Coturnix japonica: one gene and its partners. The protein of the gene in region 1 purifies or fractionates together with the protein of each later gene. This does not show direct contact. Links are inferred from orthologs where the notes say so. Each region holds a gene or a part of one and is shown in the gene's direction. Other genes may lie near its edges.

Evidence for each region.
Region 2: the proteins of KRAS (region 1) and RPL15 purify together in Homo sapiens (affinity purification with mass spectrometry; 3 studies listed by BioGRID and IntAct, with this or other methods). This does not show direct contact. The link is inferred for Coturnix japonica from reciprocal best matches to the Homo sapiens genes KRAS and RPL15.
Region 3: the proteins of KRAS (region 1) and PRDX1 purify together in Homo sapiens (affinity purification with mass spectrometry; 3 studies listed by BioGRID and IntAct, with this or other methods). This does not show direct contact. The link is inferred for Coturnix japonica from reciprocal best matches to the Homo sapiens genes KRAS and PRDX1.

The regions. Positions count from the first base shown.
Region 1 is NC_029516.1:61,761,684-61,766,498, reverse strand, and holds part of KRAS (GTPase KRas), read left to right. Parts: intron 1-1,391; coding exon 1,392-1,570; intron 1,571-3,868; coding exon 3,869-4,028; intron 4,029-4,815. UniProt on the Homo sapiens protein: Ras proteins bind GDP/GTP and possess intrinsic GTPase activity. Plays an important role in the regulation of cell proliferation.
Region 2 is NC_029517.1:34,137,777-34,142,085, forward strand, and holds the end of RPL15 (60S ribosomal protein L15), read left to right. Parts: intron 1-881; coding exon 882-1,018; intron 1,019-2,962; coding exon 2,963-3,268; 3' UTR 3,269-3,319; downstream 3,320-4,309.
Region 3 is NC_029523.1:18,752,574-18,757,421, reverse strand, and holds the start of PRDX1 (peroxiredoxin-1), read left to right. Parts: upstream 1-1,136; 5' UTR 1,137-1,268; intron 1,269-3,736; 5' UTR 3,737-3,747; coding exon 3,748-3,853; intron 3,854-4,330; coding exon 4,331-4,484; intron 4,485-4,761; coding exon 4,762-4,848. UniProt on the Homo sapiens protein: Thiol-specific peroxidase that catalyzes the reduction of hydrogen peroxide and organic hydroperoxides to water and alcohols, respectively.

The DNA.
Region 1 (4,815 bases):
CTTGTTTACTTGAACATCCTGATTCTATACAGCTGTCTCCTGCTTGATTTTAGGATTGGCAACAAGAAAGAACAAACTTCAGTGTTAAAAAACAAACCAAACCACCAAATTAATAAAGTGCACAGTACATAGTGCTTAAAATCGATGCAAAAGAAGGAAGGTCGTTCAGAATTCATCTTGAAACTGGCTAGAATTGCAGTTTCAGCTCCTCTCACAGTAGCTTAGTTTTGTTTTTTGGAGGGTATTAAAAAGATCCTGCTTATATAACAAGAACACAAGCAATATTATGTTAATCTCTAGCTGAAGGATCTGGAAGGTTATGCCGTGATTTCCTCTTGATACCTTTTATTTGCTATGAGTATTGTTTACTGAGAATAATTTGTGGTACTCAGTGACATTTTTAAAGTTTATTGACATGGACTTATCATAATAGAGAGTGCTTATAGAAAATAGAGGTTTGGATGAAAAAATAACGCTCACGTGCTCCTGTTATTGCTATAATTATGTGCTTACAGAGGCCTAGCACTGAAAGGCATCACTTTTAGCTGCCTGGGACTCTGTACAGACTTCAGCTACTTGAATCAGTGACCTGAAAACTTTTGAGTTGATGGTGTTGAAATAATTTGTTCCAACATCTCTCGGAACCTATCAGGGCTTTTGTGTGACTCTGTGCTTTGTGTTGCTGTGTCTCGTATGAAAAACTTGAACTTCAAATGTATTGACTGTTTTGGTAATTTAATAACAAACGTTATATGCGGCCGTTTAGGGATACAAAACAGCTTTTTCTGCCTCAAACTCTGAAGGCTTCTTATGCCTTACTTCTTTTTCAGAGGTGTAGATTTTTGACGTAGTTGTTCTGCTTTGAACTCTCTCTATTATTTTGCACATTGCTGTGGCATGATGGTTTTATTAACATCCATAGAATGAAGGTCACATTGCACTTAGTTTTCTTTTGTTGTAAATGGAGTAAGCTTATAGTTAAATCGTTTAAAATCAGGATTAGAGCTTTCTTCAATTCTCATATGAACAAAGGGAGAGGCTTTTGATCTGGATCCAATTTGTACTTTGTGTCCCTTTGTACAAGATGAGAAATAAGAGTGCAGTGTGTATGTGCACACGTGCATACGCGTGCAGTACTGCTTGCTGAAGATGCAGGATGCAGATCAGAACAAGTCCTTCCAGTGGTATTTCCATTTCTGGGTTAATATCTAAACATAAATATGGACTACCAATGTTCTTACGCTGTCATTTGCCTATCTGTAAAATTGGATTATCAGTGTTTTCAGTTATGATCAACTTCCAGTAAACAACTTTAATATCTTTAGAGCTATCTATGCTTATAAACTTTGTTTATATTTAACCGCGTTGTTTTTTCTCTCTCTTTTCTTTAGGATTCCTACAGAAAGCAAGTAGTAATTGATGGGGAAACCTGTCTCTTGGATATTCTTGATACAGCAGGTCAAGAAGAATATAGCGCAATGAGGGACCAATATATGAGAACAGGAGAAGGCTTTCTGTGTGTATTTGCTATAAACAATACAAAATCTTTTGAAGATATTCACCATTATAGGTGTGTATGCTGAAAGATAAATGACTAACTCTTGTATTAGCTGCGTGGGTTGCTTGCTTTTACACTGGATAATGAATTGACCTCTCATGAAATAGCACTTAAAGGGAAATTTGCAAATTAGCGATGCTGCAATTTACTTGTCCATTTGGAAGTCTGTAATTTTCGGTAATTGAAAATCTGTTGTTTCATTCTGGAGCGGAGCAGGCAACGTATTTAAAAGCTCTTCTGTTATGGATGAGCGTGACTGCCTTAGTTGGTATTATTTATATAGTAAGAAATTATCTGAAGGTAAATGCTGCTTATCCCATAAATAAAATTGAGGGTTATAGATGGGAAACTTACACAGTTTAAATTTCACAGACGATATGTTGTTAGCCTTTCTTCTCTGGGGGAAGAGGAGGAAAATACCCATGCAAGGGTATTTGGATACATAAGTGGGTACTTAAATGGTAACGTGTGGGCTCTGATGCCTTAACGAAAAAAATAACAAGGATACCCATATGAAATTTCACATCCAGGACGATGGCTGATTGAGTTTGTTAACAATTGAAACTCATCCTTGCTTGATGTCAGCTACACTAAAATGGAAATAGAAGCAGTCTCTTCTTTTATTAGCAGTACCAGGCCAGTTATAGCTTCATATTCCATTGAATTCTGCTTGGGAGTTGTGTTAGAAGACAAATCCCACCGAAGATCACTGATTTTTTAGCAGCATAAGTTTAAGGTTGGTCCCAAATGTATAAGTTAAGCTATTCCAAGTTAGGTATTGTAAGGGTGGCTAATATAAAGATGTTAACCAAGATGGTGGTAAATAGTCAAAGGTTATTAGCAAAGGAAAACTCACCAATGTCGATGCCTTGACCAGAAAGCTGAGGCAGTCTCAACTGGGGAGCAATCTCCAAGAGATGCTGCCTCAGTGGTGGTCAGCCCTTAAATGAGGTCTCAGAGGAGGTGGAGTTGAAGTCCACCCCTTCCGGGAGCACAGCTACATTACTCTCACCTGTGCTCCCACAGCTGACCCAACACTTGCCTCAGCTGATTAATCAGAGGTTCAAGCTGTGATTTCCCATACAGGTATTTAACATGCTGTTGAGTTTATGTTGCTGTACAGCATAGGTGTGACTTGCTGTAAGTAGTAACCACAAACTCAACATTTACTTTTAAACAGAAGTTGCCCATTTAGTAACAAATTGAAGTTGCTGTTCTTCACTTAAGGTGAGATGGCACGACAGTTTGAGGTAATCAGAGTGAGGGCTGTAGCTGTCTAGATTGCATAGCTTGCAGTTCAGTTCATTTGGTAGTGCAGTTGTTGATTTGAGTAGCTAAGCTGGTAGTTTGGAGTTCTCAAGTAGAGATGACAAATTTAAATTATCTATTGCTCTCAGTAAAACACCCTACATCTCTCTTCATTGCCTAACCAGATTGTTAGAAAGGAGTTTCCTCTGTCTGTAGAGGAGGAAGGAAACGATAAGGTGTTGACATAAGGCAAAAAGGAGTGTGAAGTTCGCATTTAAAGTTTAATAAAGAAGCATTTGTAGACTTGCACAGGAAGGCCTTCTGTGTTTTAGCTTTGTACAATGAGTTGAACACAGGAGTTCCTCCTGTGCATTCACATACCTACAGGTGACTTTGAAGACTGAAACTGAATATTTCTAAATAACTAACTGAGAACATTGACAATAAGAGAAGAAGAAATAAATGATTGTTATTTGAGGTTCTTTGAGTACATCTAAATGGTATTGTGAAAACATTTTCTAGCTAGTCATTGAAAAGACACTGTACCAGATTTCTCTTGTCAGAGAACCAGGCCAGCGGTTTTTGGAGTTTTAAATCCCTTTATCTAGGTTCAGAGTTTATAATGCTGACCTAACCTGAAAAACACAGCACAGGCAGAGGGCTTTTGACTGTTTTATCTCAGCAAATGAACTGGGTATTGTAAGCCTAAAGTATGGGAGATCAGTAGTAAGATTTGTACTGGAGCTGACATTAACTGTTGTTCCTGGGGAGAGTTATTGTGTAGTGACATGAGAAGCTGTGGCAGTTTGGCTTCCTGAGCACTGCTGATAGAAACACTTGGTGCACCATGCCAGCCTTTTCAGAATAAAGTAATAAACTTGGTGGTGACAGGACTTGATCAATGTATTTATTTTTTAGTAGCTTCTTGTAGTGAATGTGCATTGAGTTAACATAAGGAATGATGCTGAAATGCCATAATTTCATTTGTTTTAGTGTTTCATAATCTACTGTATAAACTAGCAATATCTGTTAAATAAAATCTTTTTTTTTTTTTTTCTTTAGGGAACAAATAAAAAGAGTTAAAGACTCTGAAGACGTCCCAATGGTGCTAGTAGGAAACAAATGTGATTTGCCTTCCAGAACAGTAGATACAAAACAAGCTCAGGATTTAGCAAGAAGTTACGGAATTCCTTTTATTGAAACATCAGCAAAGACAAGACAGGTAAAGCTCACGACTTCCCAAATCAAAATGTAGAGCTCTCAGCTCAGTTTTCATCAAGTTAATCACTCTGAGCATTACCGATCTCTTGGTTACACCAATGGATGTGTTTCTTCAGAGCAGAAATTCACGTGGTGTCTTTTCTTTCTGTCAGCTGACTACTGATAATTGTTTATTAATTTGTGATTTGCTTCTGTTGCGCAAACTGAACGAATGAGAGCTGGGCTGCTGGTACTCTCCACTGTCAGTTGCAGAATTCTTATTATGCTAGGCTTTATTACTGTAAAAAGTACCCCATTTAGAGGTGAAATGTTTGGTTTTTCTCGTCTGCAAGAGGATTATGCAGACAATGCTTTATTTATTCTAAGCCTTTCCCTTAATAACAAAAGAAAGAGTCTTTTCAGGTGTTGATTTAACATTAGTGGAACATGTTTCATAAACCTTTCTATAGGTAAGTGATTGACTGTAAGTCTTTTTTGAAGCTGCAGATGGTGTGGAGATTAGGTATTAAGAGGAAATTATTTACTATTCTTGGCTCAGAGGGTGTTGAGATGCTGGGGCACGGGCTGCCCAGGGAAGATGTGGATGCCCCATCCCTGTAAGTGTTCAGGGCCAGGCTGAATGGGGCTCTGGGCAGCCTGAGCTGTTGGGTGCGGTCCTGCCCATGGCAGGGAGTGGAGATAAGTGGACTTTAAGGTCCATAAGTTATTCCATGATTTCTACGGGGTGAATTGATTTCATCAAGTCAAGCCTTGTAAACCTTTAGGGCACGTATTTGTTTACTGTGTTC
Region 2 (4,309 bases), on another chromosome or scaffold:
GTTCAATTAGTAGCAGTGCCCACAGCCCAAAACTGTATTCCATGTAATTTGAGTTAATGTCCCCTGTGACCAATTAGGCAGATGAAGATCAAGTGGATTCAGGCTGTAATTCTCCTTGTGCTGCCTTATTATGGCAATGCTGACCAGTGTCTTTAGTAGGCTAAGTTTGGAGCAAAGGGCTTTCTTCTTCAGGCCAGACTTTGTCACAAGTGACTTGATAACTGACTGTGCTTGAGCAGATACAGGTACTTAGTTTCTCTGATCATTAAGAAACAGTTACTGATTAGAGAAACAAACTAGCTGAGGGAAAGTGGTCATCCATCTGTAACTTAAGCAAATCCTTGAAGCAAGTTACCTTGCTTGTTCGCTGTTACACTGTAGAAATAAAGAGTATAAGCTTCTGTTCCTGCTTGTGAGGTTTGCTTCATTTCCTCACATTTCAGTAGTGTTTATGGATAACTTGTGCTTCAGTGCTTTTGAATGGTGCATTTACTGCATGGCCCTTCAGTTTTGGGGTGATTTTATTGCTTTCTGGGGATGAGGGGTTGGGGGGGATTTTTGTTGTGTTATGGCATTGGTGTTATTAGTTTATATGGAAATGCAGAATGGAAAGGTGCTGTAAGCTTTGGTTTGGATCTAAAGAAGTCCTGACAACCGTACATCACTCTATTCATTTTCAATGGAAGTAACACAAATGTTCTGTGCTAATGACTTAAGAACTGTACATTTCACTGGAGATAAGTATAAAGTATAAAGATAAGTATAAACTGCTTTATTGCAGCATTTCATGCAGAGCTTTTGGGGTTGGAAGTTCAACATGATCATGCAGGTTGCCTTAGCATAACGTGTGCTTGCTACACTAATATGGCCATTTCTTCTAGGTTATGTTATCTACCGTGTCCGTGTTCGCCGTGGTGGTCGTAAGCGCCCTGTCCCAAAAGGTGCAACCTATGGGAAGCCTGTGCATCATGGTGTCAACCAGCTGAAGTTTGCCCGCAGCCTTCAGTCTGTAGCAGAGGTGATTGTTTTGGTTATTGCTCAGAAAATTAGGGTTGTGGGGGTCACACTTAGTCTGTAAAAGTGGAAAATGCTTAGTGACCAAACAGGAACCATTCTGTAACGTATTAGGTAAAGGATCTCAAATATTGATGGCAGGAGAGCACCAGAATGTCTTGAAAAGCTGCATTGAGACAGATGAGAGAAACCTATCACACTCTGCACGTATGGGATGTGGAAAGAGCCACTGAGGTGGTTTGTTGAAGTTTGTGGGGTTATGCTTCTTTCAGAAGCATGCTGCAATACTTAGAATGAAAGACATACGACTGACAAAGGCCTGAAAAACAAAAGGCTGGGGATGAGAAATTGGAATTCAAACATGCTGAACTGTGTGGCTGCAGTCACCGCTAAATCCCGCCTTTGTGTTCCCCACCATGTTGTGTGTGTTACCAGCTTCAGACAATGAGCCCTTCACAAAACACGGCTAAATTCCTGTCTTAAAGACTGTAGCACCTGTTTGTATAGTAGGAGTGCTGAGCAGAGTACTTAGCTGTATCATACTATCTGAAAACAGCATGACAGAGGTGTATTGAGGTTAAAAATACCTCTGGTAGCTCATAAGCTTGAAGATTGGGAGTTCAGATTGTTAAACTATGTTGCTACCTGCTAAAATAAAGTGGAGACTTTCCATCCAGGAGAAGTTTTAAGTTTCCTAACGCCGCAGTTGTACATCTTGTGTAGGGAAAGAAACCAAAATGCAAAACTTAGAGCAGTACTGATCAGTGCTGCCCGAAAGAGGCATTGTAAAGGCAATGAGCATTCCCAGTTGTCGCACATCTCTAAGCAGATGGCTTCTCCCAGAACCAAAAAGCAAGTGTCAGGAAGTTGCATACAGGGTGGTTATAGCATTCATTTCCTTTTTATTTATTAACAAAAGTGATGAGTTTTAATTAAAAAAGCTCTATTTGAGTACTCACGGTGTGTTCTTCATATATGCTATTCCCAAATGTCTGGTGACTGCTTGGTTGTGGTGACAGCTCATGGAAAGAGGTGGTTGGCCCTTTGATTTTAGTCCGAACAGTTGTGAATCTGGCTTGTGTTCTCCTAGAAAGCTTCTATTCTTCAGGTAAAACTGTTCTAGAAGTGCCAAACCTTGATTGTCACTGTCATCCCCACATAGAAGCTAGCTAATGGGGATTGGTCGCCATCAAATTGGTTCAAAATGTGTCACTGGACTTACTCGCTAGAAGAACTTGAAGAAAATACATGATATATGTGAGAAGTTGTAAGCTGATGGACATCTGTAGTAATAGGTTTGGGATAGAGGCTGGATGGATCTATAGTGATGATGATAATGTCCTAGGGTGAAAAAGGAGGTCATGACAGGAGAGGCAGATGGAGTTCTCTAACTCAACTTATTTCCTGCTTTGCATCCTAAACAAGGGCTGTTTCTTTCCAACCACAGCCAAGAATCAGAATAGCGTGTTGAAGGCTGCATACAGCAACTGTTCCTCTTTTTTTCTTATCAATTTGGGCTTTTGTCCTGCAGGCCTTTTTCCTTTATAATTTTGGACATTCAGATTGATTGGTCTTTTGCAATTTTCACAAGTGTTCCACGGCCCCAAGTGTGGCTCATGATCTTAAGTTTTAACTCTGCATTTACTCCCGGGGCTTTTCTGCATGTGGAAGAGTTCTTTATTTTGCCAACCAAATGCATTCATTTAAAACCCGTCTCACTTAAGAATCCCAGCAGCCTTTTTTCAATACAGCGTTTCTTTAAACGTGACTTTTTCAGGTGTTTTTGTTGCCAGAGACCGTGTGGTTTTTATCAGGAGAGCGTTTAGCTCAGAGCAAATGAAAAATGCTAGAAAACAAAATAAGGTTTTGGTTATATATATCGTTCTGCATGAAGAGCACCCCTGTTTCCATGCTTGTACAGCATTTGGCATTTCTTTTTCTCCTGTAGGAGCGTGCTGGCCGTCACTGTGGGGCTCTGAGAGTCTTGAACTCCTACTGGGTGGGTGAAGATTCCACTTACAAGTTTTTTGAGGTGATCCTGATCGATCCCTTCCACAAGGCCATCCGGCGCAACCCCGATACCCAATGGATCACCAAGCCCGTTCACAAGCACAGAGAGATGCGTGGGCTGACGTCAGCCGGGAGGAAGAGCCGCGGTCTTGGCAAGGGCCACAAATTCCATCACACCATTGGTGGCTCACGTCGTGCCGCCTGGAGAAGGCGTAATACCCTGCAGCTGCACCGCTACCGCTAATTCTTGTAAACACAACGGTCTAATAAAGCTGATGTGGGTTGTCAAATTGAACCAGTGCTTCTGCTTCCTGCTTTACGTGGAGAAGTGTGGGATTCTCCAGAATTTCACTTTGTTTTTATATATTGAAAAGTGTTTTGAAAATGTGATGTGGTTTTTGAGAGGATTCTAGACCACAAACGTTGACTGTGATGGGCTTTGCTTTTGGTGAGACTGAAAAGATAGGTGCAGTGTGAGTTGAAATCCTGATCCACATCCCTGTTCTGGTGGCTTGAGTGTATTTCTTCACTGTCCCTTGAAGGGTGTTACTGTGTCCTGTGTTAAAACTGAAGGCCTGCTTTGATCGTGTGCAATGAGATGTAAACTAGAAGTGCTGGTTTCTTTTTTATAGATGATTAAATATTAATGACGATTAGATCTTACTAGTTCTGTTTGGGTTTGCTTTTTTGTCTTCAGCATGAAACCAGGTCTTGAGCCCGTTTGCCTGCAAACGTAGGCTAAACCAACAAAGCACTGAGTGAAATGGAGCAGCTCACTGTTCATTGAGGCCGTGTTTTACTATTTACTGTAACAAAGGTATTCATTTGCACAGTATTCCAGGACACTCACCTTGTATTGGAGACAGTGTCTTAGCTCTGACTTGTGGTATAAAAAACAATATTTTTCTGCAGGAGCTGCATTTAGTTTGCCTCTGCATGGGTAGGTGATAGAAACAATTGCATTGGGATGATGTTTAAAGAATATTTTCTATGAAAATACAATCACCAAGGTTGGGGGAAAGACCCACAGCATCACCCAGTCCAACCATCCACCCGTCACCAATAGTTCTCACTAAACCATGTCCCTCAACACAACGTCCAGATGTTCCTTGAACACCTGTGGGGTTGGTGACTCCAGAACCTCCCCAGGCAGCCCATTCCACTGCCTGACCACTTTCTTTCAGGCTGCCATTGGGTAGTGATGGGAGTCAGGCTTGATAGAAGACCAGAGGAGCTTGTAATTTGCCAGGGTTTCAAACTGGGTTGTGTGGAAAAGAATGAAAAA
Region 3 (4,848 bases), on another chromosome or scaffold:
AAGCTCACAATGACTCAAAGCAACGCGTGCAGCCCGGCCAGGAGGATGCACGGTAACACGGGACGTGCAAACTACGGCCATACATGCACCCACCCACCGTCACAGCTCGCCCCGACCCAAAGCGACGAGCCTTCAGCCAGCACGATACACACAGGAGCGCACTGCGGCAGCAGCCACACGTCTGTGCATCGCTACAACCGCAAAGCGCCCCCGGCCCCGCTGTGCCCGCCGTGCCGGTACGAGCCCCCGCCCGGCTCCCCGCATCCAGCCCGGGGCACCGCACCGCACTCACCCGCACCGCCGAACCACCGGGCTACGCCGCCGCTCTGCGCTTCCGCTTCCGGCCGCCAGCGGGCAGCGATCGCAACGGGAACAGAGCGGTGTGTGTGTGTGATGGCTGCACACAGGGCACGGGTCAGCTCTGCTGTGCTACAGCCGTGCCTGCTGCAGGGCAGGACAAGGCACGAACACAAGGCAAAGCGCCTCGTGGTGCCTGTACAAGTGGGTTTTATGTGTGTAAGTGTGAGGAATGAGCACAACAAATGGTGAGGCCGCTGCTGCGTTGTGTGCTGGTGCTGTGAGCCATGGCAGGCTGCTTGATATGGAGCTGTTCATTGGGACTGTCCGGCCGTGCAGGGTGATCCCGTGTACCTGCCCTGCAGTGACACCTCAGTGCACAGAGCTCGGCTGTGCTATGTTAAGGCAGAGATTGGAGCCACGGCTGCACGGCACCGAGCACACACTGCTGTTAACAGGCCTGACTGAAGCCACACAAACCCCATTCACCTCAATGGCAACCACCAGCCGATCTCATCCTTCCTCAAAACGCAGCCCATCCTCTCCCTCCCTGCTGACTCCTAATAGCAGCGGCTCGGTTCTATTACGGCATTAAAGCCATTTCTTGCTACGATCCATCTGACTCATCCTGCCGTGAGCCGCTTCCAGCCCTACTCCTCCAGCCATTCCATCAGCCATTCCCCCGGCACCGCCCGGCCGCCATCCTTGCGCTGAGCGCTGCCGTTGTGCAGCCCCGCACGGCGCGGGGCAGATAAGGCGGCTATGGGGCGCTATGGGGCGGTATGGGGCAGCAGCCCGTAGTGCCGAGTCATGCTGGCTGTGCGGGCGGCCCGGGAAGGCGGGACGGGCGGCACGGCCCGGGAGCGGCGCGCCCGTGTCCTCGCGAGATCGGCCCCGCTATAAAGGGGCGGCGCGGCGGGGGCTGCGGCACTTGGCGGCTTCCTGCTGGAGTGCGGGGACAGGAGCTTTGTGTGAGTGGGGGCGGGGGGCGCTGGGGGGCAGGGGGGTGTTGGGGCTGCACGTTGCTTTCGCTCACGGCTTTGCTCCCATTTCTCTTTTCCCTGTCCGCGGGGAGGTGTAGAGCCAAGCCCGCTCCGAGCAGCGCTGTGCAGGGATTGCTGCTTTCTGCAGCCGTTTGGCGTGTATTGTTTTCCTTTTTCCTCCCTTAAAAGAAAGGGTTATGGGGCGGATTGGGTCTGGGCACGGGCTGCCCGTGAGGAGGAGCGGCGGGGGCCGCTCGGAGCGGGGCTGGACTGAGCCGGGCCTCGGGCGGTGCGGCGCGGTCCGGCTGCGGGCCGCTGTGCGGTTCGTGCCTGCCCGGCTGGGGGCAGCCCCGCCCTCCTCGCACCGCAGCTCGGTCCGTTCACTGTAGCGATGTAGGGCTGGGGAAGGGTAGGCTCGCTCCCGTCGGAGTGTCCTAAAGGTATGAATTTCCAGTTGGAATGCAGGCACGGCTTGTTGTAATTGTAGCGAGGCCGCGAGCAGCCCAGGCGCTCTGAGCTGGTGCAGCTGCGTTTCGCTTGCAGCGCCGTGCTTCTGCTTCTAGAACGGCAGGACCTCGCACGCAGTCTGTGCTCCGCTCCTCGGCGGATTAGGAAGCGCTGTGGCTGTAAATCCAAGCAGAGCACGCGGCTGTGTGCTGCTGTGCCCGGCAGAGCAGGCCGTGCCAAATTGCAGCTGCTTTCTTCACTGCACTTGCTGCAGTTCTTGCAGTAGGAGACCACTGAGTCCTATAACCTGATGTTAAAGGCTTGCAGGTTGTTTGAAAAGGGACAATAATTCCTTCATCAGAAAGGGGAAGTATCAGAGAGCCGTCTGACTGCTTAGATTTGACCCTGGTATTACGCTCCAGGGAAGCGCTGATGGAACAAATATAGGTCTGGCGTAGTACTGAGCAAAGGGATGACCTTGAGCTTGAGTACAGGGAAAGAATGTAATTCCGTGGTAAAACACGGGGTCATGTACTGCAGATAAAGCAGGTATTGCTTAAAAGACAGAACTTTCTGGCTGAGGGTCTGACAAATGCTGTGCAATGGCAGTTTCAGACTTGCATCTGCATTTGTGGCTCCATGAAGTGATCGGAAGGATTATTAATGTCATCATTCTAGACCGTTTCAGTATCCTCTTATGAATGCCTTGCAGTTCTGGCTACCTTGGTTCATAAGATTCTGTCCTGGTTCGCTGCATTTGAAGGTGAACCCTTCGGATGAGCTGGGAATGTGGAACTCTTTGTACGAGGCAGTTAATTGTGCTGAGTAAGGTGGCATTTTGCAAAGCAAAATGAAGGAGGGGGTTACTGTCCATCCTCTCTGCATGTGAGAGGAGCCTTCAAATGTTAAACTCCTCATAGAAGCTCTAAATTGATCAGTTTAACTTGAATAGAAATTCTTATGACATGTGAGGTAATTCTCCTGGAGCTGTGGCAAGGGAGAAGGAGGCAAGAAATGAAGTGCATCTGCCCTGTTCTGGAATGGACTTTGTGCCATGCAAGCAGGGTTTTTAAGGTCTTTGAAACTCAGCTTTCTGTAGCAATATGAGACTCAGTAATACTAACAGCTCAGGGGCTTGTGTCTCCGTGCCAGATAATTCTTTTGCAGCATGTAAAATGGCTTCAGTGAGATCACTTAAAGACTGAGCTGAGGGAATGAGGTTCATGAAGTTTTGTATTTGAAAGGCAGTGCTCTGCAGGGAACTGGGATTCTGAAGTGCTGCATCTGCACACTGAGCAAAAGTGCTGTACAGAACGTGTCTGCAAAGGACTGGACTTAGGATTGATGGCCAGAAGTAAACTTCTCTTGGCCTCATGCACACTCTTACTCTTTTTCAATAGACTGAAATGCTCAGGGGAACCAGCCTGGCTGCACTGGTTTAAGAGTTTGTGAGCCTGTAGTTGTTAATATGAACTGTAGATCAAAATCACGAGTCTTTTGTTTGTAAATAAAACAAGGCTTCTTTGTTTGCAAGGCTGAAGAGTAGTTATGGAGAGTGTTGGTCTCTTAGAGACTAATCAAACTCTGCTTGGAAATAAGGTTTGAGGTCTTACATTCCTTTGTGAATTTGAACAAGAGTCTCATCATCAGAATTTAGGAAGAAAGACTTAATAGCTCATCCACCTATTGGAACAAAGGCTTAGTGTGGATACAGCTAAAACTCTAGGCAGCTGGCTCGCTTCTAGCCTGTAATGAGCTGTTCCTGGTCAAAGATAACTGTGTCCTTAGGAAACTAACATGCCTTAAAGAATGTGCTTAGTAGTTTCATCTGGATACCTGACTACCCAGGTGATAAGCTTAAAATGAGTTTTGCTCTTAAGCCTTGCTGCCAGATCAAATGCTGATATACTGCCCCATTGATAATTAAACTGATATGATGCTTTGCACCTGGAAGTAAGATGTATTCAAACTATTCAGCTATCTAAACTGCGCTGTTAATTCTTTTCCAGATTAAATCAAGATGTCTTCAGGAAAGGCTTTCATTGGAAAACCAGCCCCTGAGTTTACTGCCACAGCAGTAATGCCAGATGGGCAATTCAAGGATATCAAGCTCTCTGACTATAGAGGTGGGCTTATGTACATCTAATTATGCAAATGCAGTCTCCCCTTGTGCAGGGGATGGGAGGTGGGGAGGGGGAGCATCTAATGAAGCCTTTGGTTTGGTTTCCAAGTAACAGTGACCACTTGACTGTAGTTAATTTACAGTGATTTTGTTCATTGCCAACTGGAATGTGTTTGGGAAGCTGTTGACAGCATGACTGAATGTCCTAATTATGATGATTGTTGGTTATTAGCATGAAATTCCTCTAAAATAGAACAACTAAGTTTTATCCTAGATTCAGGCATTTTGAGTCTGATATAACAGCTTCAAAACAGGTGAAACTACAAGATCTTGTTTATTTGTTGGTGGAAAGTAGAATTCCCTCTAACTAAAGAAGCTTCTTTCTGCTGAAGTACTAGAAAACTATTGTGTCACTCCTTGCAGGCTTGGTACTGCTGTAGAACCTAATGTAAGAGATTAACTGGTGACATTGCTCTTCTAGGGAAATACGTTGTGTTCTTCTTCTACCCTCTGGATTTCACTTTTGTTTGTCCAACTGAAATCATCGCATACAGCGACAGAGCTGATGAATTCAGGAAAATTAACTGTGAAATAATTGGAGCTTCTGTTGATTCTCACTTCTGTCACCTTGCCTGGTAAGAATCAGCCTTTTAACATTAGACATTACTGTGCCTGGCCTCAGTTCTTACAGGAACTGGATTCTGAGTATTCAGACTTAAACTTAATTTACTTGTGTGTCAAATAAAGTCCTGTAGGAAGTACTGTCATTCCAGATGCTTCTGAACAGAATTGGGAGTACCGGGCAGTTCCTTTGTTACTTCCTGGCATGCTTTGTGCATCTGAAGTGCGCTTTGGATGAGCCTCTGTTGTACATTATGAACTGACCTTCTTTCTTAACACTTCTGCTCTTAGGATCAACACTCCTAAGAAACAAGGTGGTTTGGGCACTATGAAAATCCCACTGGTTTCTGACACAAGGCGTGACATTGCCAGAGACTA